2 linked regions of the Styela clava genome follow. The protein of the gene in region 2 interacts with the protein of the main gene of each other region in a pairwise test. Links are inferred from orthologs where the notes say so. Each region holds a gene or a part of one and is shown on either strand. Other genes may lie near its edges.

Region 1 (7,890 bases), on a different chromosome or scaffold from region 2:
ACGGACTGCTTTAAAATAATGAAAACTAATCATGATTAGAAGATAATGTCCGTAGAAAATAGTTATTCCAGCTCGTATTGATGAAAATGCTAAGATGAGATATGGTACTGCAATTGAGTAATAAACCACAACAACATATGCAACCAGTATTGTCACCAATGTAACAAAGGCGAAACCAAACCATCTTGAAACAAAATCCACTAGAGTTATGATGGGCTCAAAAAGGACTTCTGTTGCAGATGAATAGGTGTTATAAGTCAATGATAGGTAACATAGTTTCAGATATCTCCATCTCAATTTTATTCCGGAAAAATCTGGACGTCTAAAGTGAATCCTCATTGTGATGGAACATCGACTATTTACAAGGTACTAACTAGTTCAGCATTATAAATTAGCTTTAAAAAACCCATAATAAATCTACAGAAAAATGAAAATAGCATTAGATGAACATTGTCATACAAAAACAACTGTAGAAAATGGAATTTTGTCAAAGAAATCAGTATTGAACTAGGTGATACATTGTAAGTACCCAATACTGGCTAAAACTGACCAGTTCAAAAAAACAAGTACCGGTAGTAGAAATTCTTCATTCATTTACTACAGCATTTTATAAATACAATCAATCTACAGAAAAGGGTGGAATGAATAAATTAAATGGCAAAAATGGTTTGTTAAAGCAAAAAAATGATCCCCAATATAGGCGTTAACAATGACCAAGTTTATAACAAAATTACTAGATGAGATTTTTTCTGTATTCTGTAAGTATATTTCAAGGAGAAATAAGTAAATTCCCTTCAGCAAACTGTTTATTTATACACTGTAGTCAAGTACCAAACATTGCAATGTCATTTCTTGAGATGGATATTTTTAATATGCTGATGGCATCGTATTTATATTTAGCTGCAGTGTGGACTAGTGGTGATCTTTTGGACTCTCCATCCACACACATATAGTTGGGTGGAGTCTTGCTTGGTTATCAAACATTCATAAAAACCTTTACAAGGTGCCATATTATCATCTGTCAACCCTTTTCTCCAATATTGAGATTAATAAAAGGAAGATAAAAATTGAGAAATGGAATGAAGGAGCAAAAAAAAAACAAATATGTTTATTTAACCAGCACATTTTCCAAGAGATGGTAAACCTTTAATATACGAATGACCAAGGTCACACTCACATTTATACCGGTACAAAATGCATTTAAAAGATTAAAAAAGCAAGTACTGTACATTTCTCATTTACTTTTGTGTAAATGAAGGAAAGATTTACCACAGAAAGGCGACTGATACTGAATTCCTAGTTTTTCAAATGCTCTCACTGGTATTCCTACATCAATCATGTATAAAGCACCATATTTTGCTGAAAGTGAAAAAGGCAGTACTGCACACACAGACCATTTTATATGCAAATCTGGAGGTAATGCAGCTGGTGGAGAGAGACACATTAAAGGAGCTCGATTTTCATTACACCAACGAACGGAATGTTGATACCAAGATTGCTGATATAAAAATTCACAATCTTCTTCATCCATCGCAGAAATGATTAAATCAACAGGATTTGTAGGTAATTCAGAATATTCGCTAATAACAACAGCATCTGTTAGAGACAATAGTCTTAATTCTTCTTGTAGGCAAGCATGTATTTTAACAAAATTGGGCATGAACACATTCACTTTTACATTATGATTTGAAAGATGCCTCGCTGTTGCAACACCTTGAGCACCTGTTCTATGAGGCCCACACATTACAACTGCAGATGGGGGCTGATGTGAATTTCTTGGATGAAGCCTATTACAGCCACCCAATACAGATAGAGCCATGAGACTTGCATTAGCTCCAAATATTTCAGTTTGTCTATCCATTCCGAAACCCATAAGTTCAGCAGCATGCAATATTTGTATGTAGGTATCATTTGAAATAGTGGGAACTACAAGTCCTGCATCTGTGTAATATTCTGAAACTTCGTATTTGGTCACCTCATTTGTTATTATTTGTCGGTATATTACAGGCCCTTTTTGTAGAACGAACTCGTCATGCTTGTATTTCTCTTCAACCTTTCTATGTCTCTGTTTTGATGGAGTTCTCATACTTTCTCCATCACTTCCAGAGTTTATCTCATTGTATACAGCAAGTTTATCAAAAAGAGCAAGATTCTTGACAAAATCGAAATCTTCAGTCATATCTTGCGGGTTGTTATCAAACGTATCGTCATCCCGATTATATAAACCCTTCCGTACTTTTGAATACTTTTTCCCACCTTTATACTCCGAGCCAGGTTGTGGTGAACTAGAATGCATTGGTATTCTATCTGTAATACCAACTTGTCGGCTTTCATTGTTTTTAGGCCTTTTTTCTTTTTTTACACTTGATAACCCAATTTTTGGGGATTTCTTATCCTTAGTTTCCAATGTTGAAAGAAGGCCATCAATGATGGTGATTTCTACGATATCAGACGACGGAATTGTCATCTCATTATGTGGGCATTTAAAACCATTTCGATATGGATTGGAAATTGTAATTGTTTGTGATTTTTGGTCTACTTCTTTCACGATTCCCTGACAATGACCTATTACATCCCCACAGTTTATTGTAACATTGGAACCAACGTAAGATGTCATGACTTTCGGTTTCTGAACACTGGAAGAGAACTAGGCTATAGGGCCTACAAAATCAATGTATCCATCAAATGATCATGTAAATGAAAAAATAACATTCCCAAGTTCAATCAATCAATTAAAGTATATTCAAATATTATAATCATATACCGGTAAAGCATTAGGCTATAGGAAAAAGAAAAAAATCCAAAACGTAAAAATGCATATACAGATATTGAATAACTATGTCTGTGTTGTTATCATAAAATACAGTACATCAATATTTTCAAAAAATGAAACAATTTTTCAATCTACTGATCTACGGTATGAGGCTGACGGACAACTGAGTAAACAAGCAACACCAGAGACGACAACTCGATTACAGAAAGGCTGAGAGTGAGAGGCAGAAGCCTGGTGTCGCTGGTGAGTTGTCCGTCCAAAAGTATAAACGCACAGAGACCTACACCGTACAGTCTGACTTCGCTAATGTTACCGTACCGTACACCAGACCCCAGGGGTCTCGTGTAGTTTCGTACCTAACGTACTTCTAGTAGGTGTAGCATAACAATTTTTTGACATGCCAATCCTAACCCTCACCTGACTACGCCATCCGATAATTACGTCACTACGACGTCACAATCACGTCATAGAGCTTGCCAAATACTCATACGATCGCCCGAAATAGCATCGGCGCCGACGATAAAGAAATGACTAACGTCAGCGATCTCTCTCCTATCGGGATCGTTGCGAGGAGAAAACGAGAGAAATGGCTGTTCGATTTCGGGTTCTCGTCTGCGCGTCTTGGATGACAGTTCGCATAGTTTGAAGGGCTCTATTACGTCACTGTGACGTCGTAGTGACGTAATTTTGGGATGGTGGGGTCAGGTGGGGGTTAGGATTGAGATGTGAAGAAATTGTTATGCTACGCCTACTAGAAGTACGTTAGGTACGAAACTACATGAGACCCGCCCCCAGTTTAGTCGTCGCAGGTTCACTAAAAGCGGTAAGTACCGTACTTTTAGTTGGGACGGACTAAAAGTAGGCACTTGCAAATTAGGCACTTATTTAGGCACCTTGGAAAAAAAGTAAAAAGGGCGTAATACCTTTTAAAAACATAATTAATTAGTTAAAAATGGTCAAATTAAATGTTGAAAACGCAAATTGCAACGGGCAAACTCAATAGCAATATTTAAAACGCAGTATTAAAGGCAGTCGCACGCGCTTGGTCACCACATATGCTAGGCACATATTTATGCAGTTCGAAAAATAAATAAAATGGCATATTCACTAATAAAAGACAGTGAATAAACATATTACCCACACTGATTAGCCTGAGTAAATATCTAAGAGATGCACTTGAGTCTAGTACTGGAATTTAGAAATAATAAATTGTTACCGGTAGGCACTTTTTTAGGCACTTATTTAGGCACATCGAAAAAAAAGGTGAAATGGACGTAGTAACTCCTAGAAAGATAATGAATTAGTTCAAAATATTTAAATTAATTGTTGAACGCGAAAATTGCAACAGTTAAACCCAATACTGTAATGATTTTTAAAACGTATTACTAAAGGGAGACGCACGCGCTCTGTCACCACATATGCTAGGCACATATTTAGGCACTTCGAAGAATAAAGAAAATGGCAATTATCACTAATAAAAGACAGGAAAATAAAAATATTACCCACACTGATTAGCCTGGGTAAATATCCAATAGATGCACTTGAGTCTAGTACTGGAATTTAGAAATAATAAATTGTTACCGGTAGGCACTTTTTAGGCACTTATTTAGGCACATTGAAAAAAAAGGTGAAATGGGCGTAATAACTTTTAAAATAATAATTAATTAGTTATAAATTGTCAAATTAAATGTATAGCACGCAAATTGCAATAGGCGAATCGAATAACAATATTTAAAACGTAGTATTAAAAGGAGTCACACGCGCTCGGTCATCACATATGCTAGGCACATATTTAGGCACTTTGAAAAAAGAAGAAAATCAGAATTATCACCAATAAAAGACAGAGTAATAAAAATTTTACCCACACTGATTAGCCTGGGCAAATATCCAATAGATGCACTTGAGTCTAGTACTGGAATTTAGAAATAATAAATTGTTACCGGTAGGCACTTTTTAGGCACTTATTTAGGCACTTCGAAAAAAAGGTGAAATGGCCGTAGTAACTCCTAGAATAATGAATTCTCTATCTTCTATTGGTGATAATTCCGATTTTCTTCTTTTTTCGAAGTGCCTAAATATGTGCCTAGCATATGTGGTGACCGAGCGCGTGTGACTCCTTTTAATACTACGTTTTAAATATTGTTATTCGGTTCACCCATTGCAATTTGCGTGTTCAATATTTAATTTGACAATTTTCAACTAATTAATTATCATTTTAAAAGTTATTACGCTCATTTCACCTTTTTTTCGATGTGCCTAAATAAGTGCCTAAAAAAGTGCCTACCGGCAACAATTTATTATTTCTAAATTCCGGTACAAGACTCAAGTGCATCTATTGGATATTTACCCAGGCTAATCAGTGTGGGTAATATTTTTATTTCTCTGTCTTTTATTAATGATAATTGCCATTTTCTTTATTTTTCGAAGTGCCCAAATATGTGCCTAGCATACGTGGAGACAGAGCGCGTGCGTCTCCCTTTAATACTACGTTTTAAAAATCGTTATTGGATTTAACTGTTGCAGTTTTCGCGTTCAACATTTAATTTAAATATTTTGAACTAATTCATTACCTTTTTAGGAGCTACTACGTCCATTTCACCTTTTTTCCGAAGTGCCTAAATAAGTGCCTACCGGTAACAATTTATTATTTCTAAATTCCAGTACTAGACTCAAGTGCATCTATTGGATATTTACCCAGGCTAATCAGTGTGGGTAATATGTTTATGTCTCTGTCTTTTATTAGAGATAATTGCCATTTTCTTTATTTTTCGAAGTGCCTAAATATGTGCCTAGCATATGTAGTGACCAAGCGCGTGCGACTGCCTTTAATACTACGTTTTAAATATTGTTATTGAGTTTGCCCGTTGCAATTTGCGTTTTCAACATTTCATTTGACCATTTTTAACTAATTAATTATGTTTTTAAAAGGTATTACGCCCTTTTTATTTTTTTTCCAAAGTGTCTAATAAGTGCCTAAAAAAGTGCCTAATTTGCAAGTGCCTACTTTTAGTCCGTCCTCCTTTTAGTTGATGTGGCACAAACATATTTGCATATGGTATTCCTAACTCCCACCTGACTACCATTCGTGGGTTCGCAGGTTCGAATCCCATGCAGGATGACAATGTGCGAGAAGATTGCTGGACTCCTCACCGCCGTAGGGTGGTTCACGTAACCGATGGTCCGTTACGGCTTCCTCCACCATCAAGTCCATGCTTCCGAAAACAAAAAAACTGGCTAACTAATCCCATACTCGACCTGGGGCCCCATTCGCCCAACTTCTTTATCGTTTAACCGTAACGTGTTAGTAGAGCACCCACTTTCTCGTAAAAGGCAAAAGTGGTATTCTCGAAGTATCGTTAATATTCGAGAGATTTTTTTGCGCGCCAAAACAGACGTCTCGTAAAGTGCCTTCTTCTATCATTTTACCGAGAATCGGTATTCACCAGTCGTTGGTATTTACTAAAGTTCTTTAACGCGCCGAAGTGCTTGCAAACAAACGAGGGGAATTTTTTGCTCGTTAACAGTAGTTCGGCCTGTTCTTAGCATGAATTCAAGGTAAAATGTATGTGTGTTTATTTGTAACAGTATCTACAAAATAATTAAGACGGGATACATGTTCAATACCTTACTGGCCTAAGACAAATATGCGCGACATGCATCCCATCAAATGATGTGGTGTTTGCATACTTTGTGAAAAATTGGTATCAAAAATGCCTAACTTACTTAAGAGTGACTGTAGTCTAGTAGCTGTTGACCCACCTATATATGCCAACTAACATCGTACTAACATCAAATATGGGATTACATATTCATCTATTTTATTGTCTGTTACGGAAGTAGTTTAACAATATGTATCTCAGAATTTATTTCTATCATCCATAGATTACTGCTATATACGAATAAAACTCATAGGGTGTTTCAAACGTCAATTTACCACGGCCGAAGGCTATCGAAAGATGTACAGTTCGAGTTAACGAACGCAAGACAAAATTATTGTCAGTCAATACTGGGGTCATGATCCGCAAAGATGATCAGTCAACAAACAATTTATGTGTAGTGGTAACAAATCACTATAAATGGTGACAAAACCGACTGGAATTAACCTTCTGAAACAGACCGGATCACCGGTTTCAACCACAAGTACGGACAACACCAGGACAGGCAACAATTTGACGAAATCAACCAAAAAGCTGACCAAGCGAAAGATAAGTTTCCTTTCCATCATCTACCATATTAGTCGTAAATTGGGGCCCATGCTGATCTAATATCTCTGTTTTCTTTCCGCAGCTCTCAACGATTGATGAGAAACCATATATATACACATCAAAAGCGTTCAAGGATCAAATTGCTGACAAGCCGGAACAATCAAAACATCATGACGAAACAATGAATTAAATCGAATAAAATATGGAAACGTTAAAATTATGAATATGGACTGTGTTGTCGAACAATCGAAATGAACTCTCATAGAACATGATATATATATATATTCGAGGTGGAAAACCTGATCAAAAAACGAACTGATGAAAACAATGAACTGTTACTAAGGTAAAGTCCTTCTTCTTCTTCTAAATATATATGGTGTTTCAATTCGGCTTTCAATTCTTAAGAATTAATTGAGAGTAACATACTTTGAATATTCGAATTTCAAATTCCCCTCAAAAGATTTATATTATTAAAAATTTGTGGTTAGCATTCCTCTTCCCATTAAATAGATTTCGTTAGTATTAAAATGCTTTCTAAAAGTAGATTCGAGCGAGTCATACTTTTAATTATTTACAATGCCGCCATATAGGACAGTGAAATAATAAGCTCGTCAAAAATTGTGTCAAAAGCGGTATTTTTTCAAAAAGCCCAGGTGGTATAAACTTTAAAATTTTTTTTTTCTTCCCGACATGGATAGACCAACTATTTCACAAAATGGTAACAATGCGAGTGTAAGTATTTTTAGCGTAGCAAAGTACATTTAATTGAGAATATGTTTTAACCGTCCAAAACAAAAAATCCAAAGTAAAAATACACCATTCTCTTTGAATTCTACTTTACACAACTTTTACCTTTCTATAACCTCCTCTTTATTTCCATGTCTTGTCTCATTGTAGATTCTATATATATAT
Region 2 (7,894 bases):
TGATATTGACGTACCTTGGGTAATCTAGCTCGTTTAACAAATACAGGTACTGCATCCCGTCCTGAGTTGGGTTGAATGACTTCGCGAATTTCAACCGTGTCATCAGCAAGAAAATAATGGAGAACCTTGATCAAGAAAGACAAGCAATGGTTAGCTATGTGTAGCACAGACACATAAACACAAATGCCTTTGTTTTGGTACTCATATAAGTATACACATAAGCTAAGAGTCGGAACCATTTGAAAACATATTTCAGACATTTGTTCAGACAAAAGACTATTGTGAATTTTTTTAAATAATCATCCCACGTAAGATTTCGATGTAAATCTCCCAAGCTCAAAGTCATTGATTAGTAATTCAAATCATAATATTCATACACCAGTACTTGGATATTCCATGTTCACACTCATACGTACACATACTACGTCCCTGTGCCCGTCATCTTGGTTCGCATACTACAGGAGTACCCCAAAAACAACTATTGATGTGCAAAGAAGTTTCTATCTTTTGTCAATACAAGAGTTGATAGGAAAATATTGTCAAGCCTCACCATTTCCCTTGTATCTCCGAACATACAATCACCGTCATCCCAAAAACACCAAAATCTAAAAAATAAAATAAATTAACCATCACTGGTAGATGCAAACCAACAAATTCAATTGAATTTCAGTTTACCTCAGAACATGTCTATCATGGCTCAAGAATTGTTTCAATGTATCAGTGCGTTCATATGGTCGAAGAGGTTGCATGCTTTCCTCCATCTGCAACATAACATAGTATTTTTTACACCATCATATTCCATTACTACTCCATATTAATTTTTTAAAAATATTTGTCTCTAGAATTTTGAAAATCCATAACACACTATACTTTCAAAATGGGGGGTAGGGGGTTGGTGGAATATACAAGATTTTTTATTTCCCATTTCACTAGAGCTGGGAGTCTTAATGCTATCAGCCATTTAGTGGAATATATAATATCGATTGTCTGTCAGAAATGATAGATTTCCCTATTATAAAATTACAAAATGAACAAAAATGGTTCGTTAAAAAAAGAAACATATACAATCAGTCAAAACATACGTACGTCCTGTCTCAATGATGTATATGGATCATCTGGAGTTCTTTCCGAGTTGGACACTCGTACCCCGAGTTTACGCAAGAAATTACGGGTGAATTCATCACAATCCATCAACTTGAATTTTCTGTCAAAAAAATTATAAATTAATTACCAATACATTATTTGATACACTGCGATTTTTTAATGGTAATAAAGTATCATCCTGCAAGTTATTTTACTGGATAATACTTTTCCATTCATTATTTGTTGAACTTAAAATAAAGGCTTAATACTCACCTTCCATAAAGAACAATCTCATTTCCCACATTGAAATGTTCAACAGTATAAAACTGATCATCATTTGGAGCTGGTAAGGGAATTCTGTGGCGTCTGATTAAAGTTCCTTGAGGAATTCCAGAATTTTTAACCTGAAAAAAGAATTCAGCTAATGAGTTAATATTGTAGCTCCTTAAAAGAGTGAACAGTATGCAAGTATCTAAATAAAACACAACTTTGCGAAAAAATAGACAATAATATAGGTTCATTATTACCGTTGGTTCGATCACTTGTATAGAATCATCCTCCAAGTAAAAATAGATTTTACAATTTCGAATACGAAACTGTTCTTCCCGTTTTTCATGCACAGCCTCTTGGAAATAGGCTTGAAAGCATAAGACCTGACATCAAAAGAAAAGCAATATTCATTATTGCTTGACCAATGATAATATTAAATAAAGTAATAATAAAGTGGGACTAGTGAATTAAGTAGGTGAGAGTGGTTTGCAAATAATTTATTTATTCTTTCATGAATTTTCTATATTATCGAAACATAATCAATAACACAGTGCCCGATTCATTAAAGATGAAGCTTTGAGTCCAGCAAGATGAATTTTTCATCTTGATTCTATAATATATATTTCAGTAACTAGACCTTTACTTTAAATCAAAACAGGAACATAAAATATCATAGTCCAAAACAACCTAAATCATGCACATAAATCCAGTTTAGTCTTGACATTTATTAGGATTACCAACTAACCCACACACCTGCCTATCGAATGCCACCCATGTTGGTGCATTGCTTCCCTCTCCTCTTGGAAAAACACTGTTCTTAGGTTTTTTCTTCTGACCAAGTAACGGTTCTCCACCAATCCCTGGTTTCTCTTCTCCAGTCAACATTGCTACTTCATTGTTATAATCGAAATGATGTGATTTGTGAAATCTCTCTTTCCCAAGCTGTTTCAAAACATTTGTCATCAAAATATTGTTGGTGCAATATTAGATTAATGATATTCCAATTGAAAATGTCTGACAATAAAAATCAATGTTGACACTGTATGGGACAAAACTACTGAGAATCACATTATCCAAATGCTCAAAATTAACCAAAATTTTTATAATATATTTATAATTTTTATAATATTAAAACTCAGGTAGCCTATAAATCTTTTTAAATTCAATATCATGAGATAAACCACACTATCTTAAATAAGTTCCCCATGTTTAAAAATGATGTGGTGAAATAAATAGACACTATCAGCAGCATTGTGTACTACTTTATTAGTGATATAAAGTATATTAGTGAAAGTGTCATAAAATATGTTCTGATAAAATATAGGTATAGGGTATTGCTGAAAGATATTCAGTTCCCGAAGCCCTGCATTGTAATATTTTTTCAGTCAGTATTTGTATTTATCGTTATTTGTATTTTATTCTTTATATATAACCGTATAATGTTGTCTATTTTACTTAGTTAAATTGAATCTAATCAATACCAACCTTTGTTAGAAAGGGTGAAACGGAAACCGATTCATCAAGAAAACGAAATTTCAAGTTCTCATATGCAAAATTGAAGAATGTACTTGATCCAAACATCCCACATACAAATGGTATTGAAAGCGATACGGCAATCGGTTTTTACCGTTTTGACCTTTACTTTTTATTCCAGAAATTGCAGTCATATGAACATTTATTAGCAAATTTCGAGATTCAATATTCAAGGGGGAAATTACCATAAAACATTTTCCAGATTTAGTGCCTTTCTGCAGTTCTAGCGTATGAGATTAGGCTACTGGATTAACAACAAAGTACTGAAGCAAACTCACCCTGAGATTAAAATTGTTTCCAGGTAGACACGGAAGAGACATGATCCCAAATTAAATCTGTTCTTTTATAATTTTCGCTAATTAAATAGTAATAATACTAATTTAGATTCGATCAAAAAGACGACCGAGGTAAGTTTCGATCCAGAGCGTCAGCAACAACTCGGTGATTGGATTGGTAACCATGGCAATGAAATTTGATCATCTCTGTGCTTGCGCGCCACATGTGTTCAACCACAACACATAGAACAAGAAGTGCTGATGTTGGGATGATTGCTGTTGTTAGAAAATCTTTCCCTTTTCTCGAAACTAATGTGCCAATCAATTTCAAATTTTTAGCACTCCCATATGAAAGAAATCGACAGATGGTAATTATTTATGCTTCTTTTTCCAAGTGTCTACTATGACTTATCTGGGATCTCAACCATAATTTTGCTAATACGCGAACATATTTACAACTCTCTTATCAATTATGTTTCCTTCAGACAAAATTCATTTTTCTATAAACAACACATATATATGTTACTAAATATATTTTGTCTGCATATCCCATATTATTGAATACAGATTGAGGTACATATATTTTTAGTTGATTTTATTTTTTCCTCTTAGTATTCAAATTGATTTTGAAGCAGTAACAATTGGTGCTGGTTTGCAAAATGGACAAGTGTTGCAATGGTTGTGCTGGTGAACTCGCTCGCCAGATTTTTAATTATCTAAACTTCACTAAAACTTCTTTTTTGTTATCATTTCAAGTGTGTGCATTGATCAACGCATCTTTAATTAAAAACAAATTTTGTATTATGGAAAATAGATTGTTGCGATGCGTGGTAAATATTAAAATGTCATGACTTGGTACAATGAACGTGAAGGCATGGCCATGGCTGTTCATTTGAAAAATAGTTTGTGGTTAAAATCCAGTTTGATGGCAGAAGCTTTTTAAAATTTTTTGCTTTCGCCAAAATATTATATGCCTCTATAAATTTTAAACTTAAACTCATGTGACTTGACACTCTTCTTTTACGAAATGTTTTATTTCGGCTGACCCACCTACTTCCCATGATTATTTTAGAAAGGTAATAGGCGCTAAACGTGTCAATCGATGTGACAATATATTACGATAGTATGTTTTGTACAGAATTATTAAAAATTGTCGAGTGATTAGGCCACCATTTGTGTAGTCTACCAGTGGCGGCGCGTCAATAGGGCCAACCGGGGCAATGCCCCGGTTGTTTTTTCGGTATAATAAAAAATATTCGAAAAATACCTCAATATCGGTTGCACAGACTGTCTACACTAGCCATATTCTCCCGACATGGTTCATTTTTCGCTCGCAAATCCTTCGCCGAACGTCGACGGGGCGACGCCGATTTTGCCCCGGTTGCTCATTGTATATCGTATTCTCTCTTTTATCTTCCATTCGCCGCGTTTGTCTCGTTTGTTTTCTGTTTCTTTTACTAAATCATCGGGGCCGATCGGGGCTAGCCCCGAAATTATGACGACACAATGCCGACGTTTCTTACAACAACGTGTTGACATGTTCACGCATTCCTTCTCGTTCGTTGGTTGCTTGAAGAGTTGATAGTTTCCTCGCCTTCGTTTTTGTCGCTTGTTTCGCTATTTGAATCAGTTAGCGACCTTTAGTCCATTTGCTTTCGATTTTCCACATTTCTTTTGAGCTCCTTCCTCACTTCTTTCCGGCTTCGCATTTCTTAGCCTTAGACCTCATTATGAATAAGGTTGATGCACTACTTCGCACTCCGTTTTCGCAGCTGCCGCTGGAACAAAAATTAGAAGTACAACGTCTTGGGCCTTATCAACCAAAAAATTGTTCACTGGAACAATCCCATGACGGAGGAAAGCGTCGGCCTACATTCTGCGCAGAAACTTGGTATTAAAAACACGAATGGTTGTGTTACAGCGAGGACAAAAATGCACTTTTCTGTTTTTATTGCCTGCTTTTTTTGTACCGCCCGTGATCCGAGCGTGCCAGGGATCATCAATCTTCTATGGAGCATCTGGACAATGCAGTAAAATACCGAACATTCGGAAATGTTAATATTTTCCGAAGTTTCTGTTGATATGTCATTGTTTTTATCTGGGTAAATATTGCCTTTCCTTTTGAAAGAGGTTTCAAAATAAACTATGTCTATATTTATTAATCCCTTGACTTGGACCGGTTTTAAATACACTTTCTTATCGTTAAAAATTGTCGCTTTTGCCGATTGGTTGTTACCGATGGAATGGTTTTTATACTCATAAAATGATGGGAGAACTTACAGCGCTCATCCTGTCCCCGTAGATGGGGGTGACTTGGTCCCGCAGTAGCTTGACCCGGTTGTCAAAATGACCACGCGCCGCCACTGTAGTCTACAATATATTCACTCTGTTAAAGAAAACCAACCCATCACAAATACTCACCAGCTGTTAACTTTATGGAAGTATAAAAATTTGTGTGATAATGGGTTTGTAACAATATCAACCATTTCAAATGAAATGAAGCTCAAATTATTTGTATTATGTGGAATGTACTAATATTTACTACAAATTGGTACATTATAAATTCATTCTGAAGGAAATGCGAGAGGGTATCTGAAACAGAATCTCTAATCAGTGGCGTAGCGACGAAATGTGCCGACCCTGGATTTTTGCACGAAATGCCCCAACTCCCCCGAATAAAAATAACGAAAAACCAACAAAATTTGATCGAAATCAGATGTTAAAACGTGGCCCCAATTCGGTACGTTGTATTGTGGGATATCTGCCAGTCTGGACTGAAATTTTGATTTGTAATGGTTCATGATTGTGTTGTTAGACTATAGCTGGAAAATTTACTTTTTATATTAGGAGAAATGTCTTCCAAAACTTGCAGAATACATTCGCGGAAAAATTCCTCTTCAGCAAACGGGCGATTATTTTTAGCGACGTTACAATATAACTGGTCAATAACGTGGATTCACTTTCATTTGACGTTTTATGATCTTCGTTTGACTTTTGTCTGAATTTAACGACGAATTAAATTTTGAAAAACGCCGCTCACGCTTCAACTGATCATAATTTGATAATGCTTCGTCTCATAATCGCGTCCAATGTTATATTGCATCAGAACTGGAATATCTTGTTGGCAAGGAAGACAAATCACTGAAATTTGATTCTTTTCAAAAAAGAAATAAGAACACTGCCATTTATCCAAAAACGTCCTTTTTTCAGTGTCTAGTTTTTGTTTTTTTAACATCTTTAAGCTTCCTTAATTTAGGGTTGATAAATAAAATACCGCCGTATGTAATTCTATTGCAGGTACGTATACAAAAAATACCGTTATAATTGAATTATTACGAACATACACGTGCTCAAAGTGTGAAAATAATGTAACAATTTGCCGTATCCAGAGCGCAAGAAGGTAAACACTTGAAGTGTTAAACGTACTGTATTGGTATTCATTTACGTTTCACCATTAAACTATTGCAATAAAGTTCGGCGGGCCTTTTTAAATCGTTACGCGGGCCGCAATTGACCCGCGGTTTGGATCCCCTGATATGCTGTATTGTGTGACACGGACTGTGAACTGCATGTTCATAAAGTACTAATAAAGTGAATACGGTATATATGCGGTAATCAAAAGTGTGTGGTGAACAGAGCGTAGGAGCAGTGTAAGTATATACGAGTTTCTTGAAAGACTTTTTATTGGCATATTCTTACCAATGTTTACTTCTGTTTTTTATTGTACTCAAATTTCAAACGTTTTCCAAAATGATATTACATCATTTGGTGATTATCATTGGGATCTTATATTCCAAACGGATTTGATATTGACATATCATGGGAGATACACAGCACTTCTTTGATACATGTTTTAGTCCTGGTGGATTTGACTTTTATCTCCCAGCCTAATATGTTATAGTGGGCCATCCATTAAAGTCAATATATATATATGTGGCTTCTATTCCATCTCATTTCAAAGAAAGCTCGAGCAAAAAGATACATTCTGCAGCCCTCAAGTCTGACAGTGGTAACCTTAACTCTTAAGTCAATTTGTGTCTTCAAGTCAAATGTAATGGAACCATATATTTAGGATTTGGTGGTATGGGCCAAGCCGTATTGTGTCAGCTTCACGATAGCCACTTGATAGGCCACCATTGGGGTATGCCGACGCTCCTATATCGTAGCCTTCACAGCTCAGTATTAGGGTGCTCCCGAAGTATTCGTATCAAGATGGCGCACAACCTGAACACAGTATCTTACCTGTACCAGGTTAGGTTGTGCGTCATCTTGGTACGAATATTTTCGGAGCGAAAGTATTAGTGCCATGGGCCTGATTTGGGGACTCCCACTTTAAATCCGCCATAGGGCGTTAATCAGTCCACAGAAACGCTTGAGTAGCGTCGCGGGTTGTCCGCCAGTGTCTTTTGACGTCCGCCGTAAGAGTTTTACCTCCTATTGATGCGTAAACCAAACTTGGTCTGAGGTCCTACGCCCATTTCAAGCTCTAAATAAACGATTGGATGACATTGTAAAAATAAATATCCCGATCTCCGCGACAAAGCCATTATATCACTGCCGATTTTGTGTACTTGATGCGTGAACTTGTCGTACTTATGTGAGAAAGCTTCTTACCGGTATCTGCCACCAAGACCAAACAGAGATATCGTGTTCATTGGAGCCGCGTCTAACACGTATGCTATCAAAAAAAAGCAGCAAATTTCTCATTAAAATTTTGCTCTCGAATTGCATAG

The links. The genes of interacting proteins can lie anywhere in the genome.
Region 1: the proteins of EF-hand domain-containing family member C2-like (region 2) and enhancer of mRNA-decapping protein 3-like interact in binary tests that used the Homo sapiens proteins (3 or more experiments, as listed by UniProt). The link is inferred for Styela clava from reciprocal best matches to the Homo sapiens genes EFHC2 and EDC3.

What each region holds. Positions count from the first base shown.
Region 1 is NC_135253.1:11,259,696-11,267,585, reverse strand, and holds enhancer of mRNA-decapping protein 3-like, read right to left. Parts: upstream 3,058-7,890; 5' UTR 2,618-3,057; coding exon 1,235-2,617; 3' UTR 417-1,234; downstream 1-416. Other genes in the region: palmitoyltransferase ZDHHC16-like, read right to left, coding at 1-339. UniProt on the Homo sapiens protein: Binds single-stranded RNA. Involved in the process of mRNA degradation and in the positive regulation of mRNA decapping. May play a role in spermiogenesis and oogenesis.
Region 2 is NC_135256.1:24,087,205-24,095,098, forward strand, and holds the start of EF-hand domain-containing family member C2-like, read right to left. Parts: upstream 3,098-7,894; 5' UTR 2,935-3,097; coding exon 2,839-2,934; intron 2,296-2,838; coding exon 2,107-2,295; intron 1,737-2,106; coding exon 1,611-1,736; intron 1,488-1,610; coding exon 1,357-1,487; intron 1,205-1,356; coding exon 1,087-1,204; intron 762-1,086; coding exon 676-761; intron 606-675; coding exon 551-605; intron 126-550; coding exon 15-125; intron 1-14. UniProt on the Homo sapiens protein: Microtubule inner protein (MIP) part of the dynein-decorated doublet microtubules (DMTs) in cilia axoneme, which is required for motile cilia beating.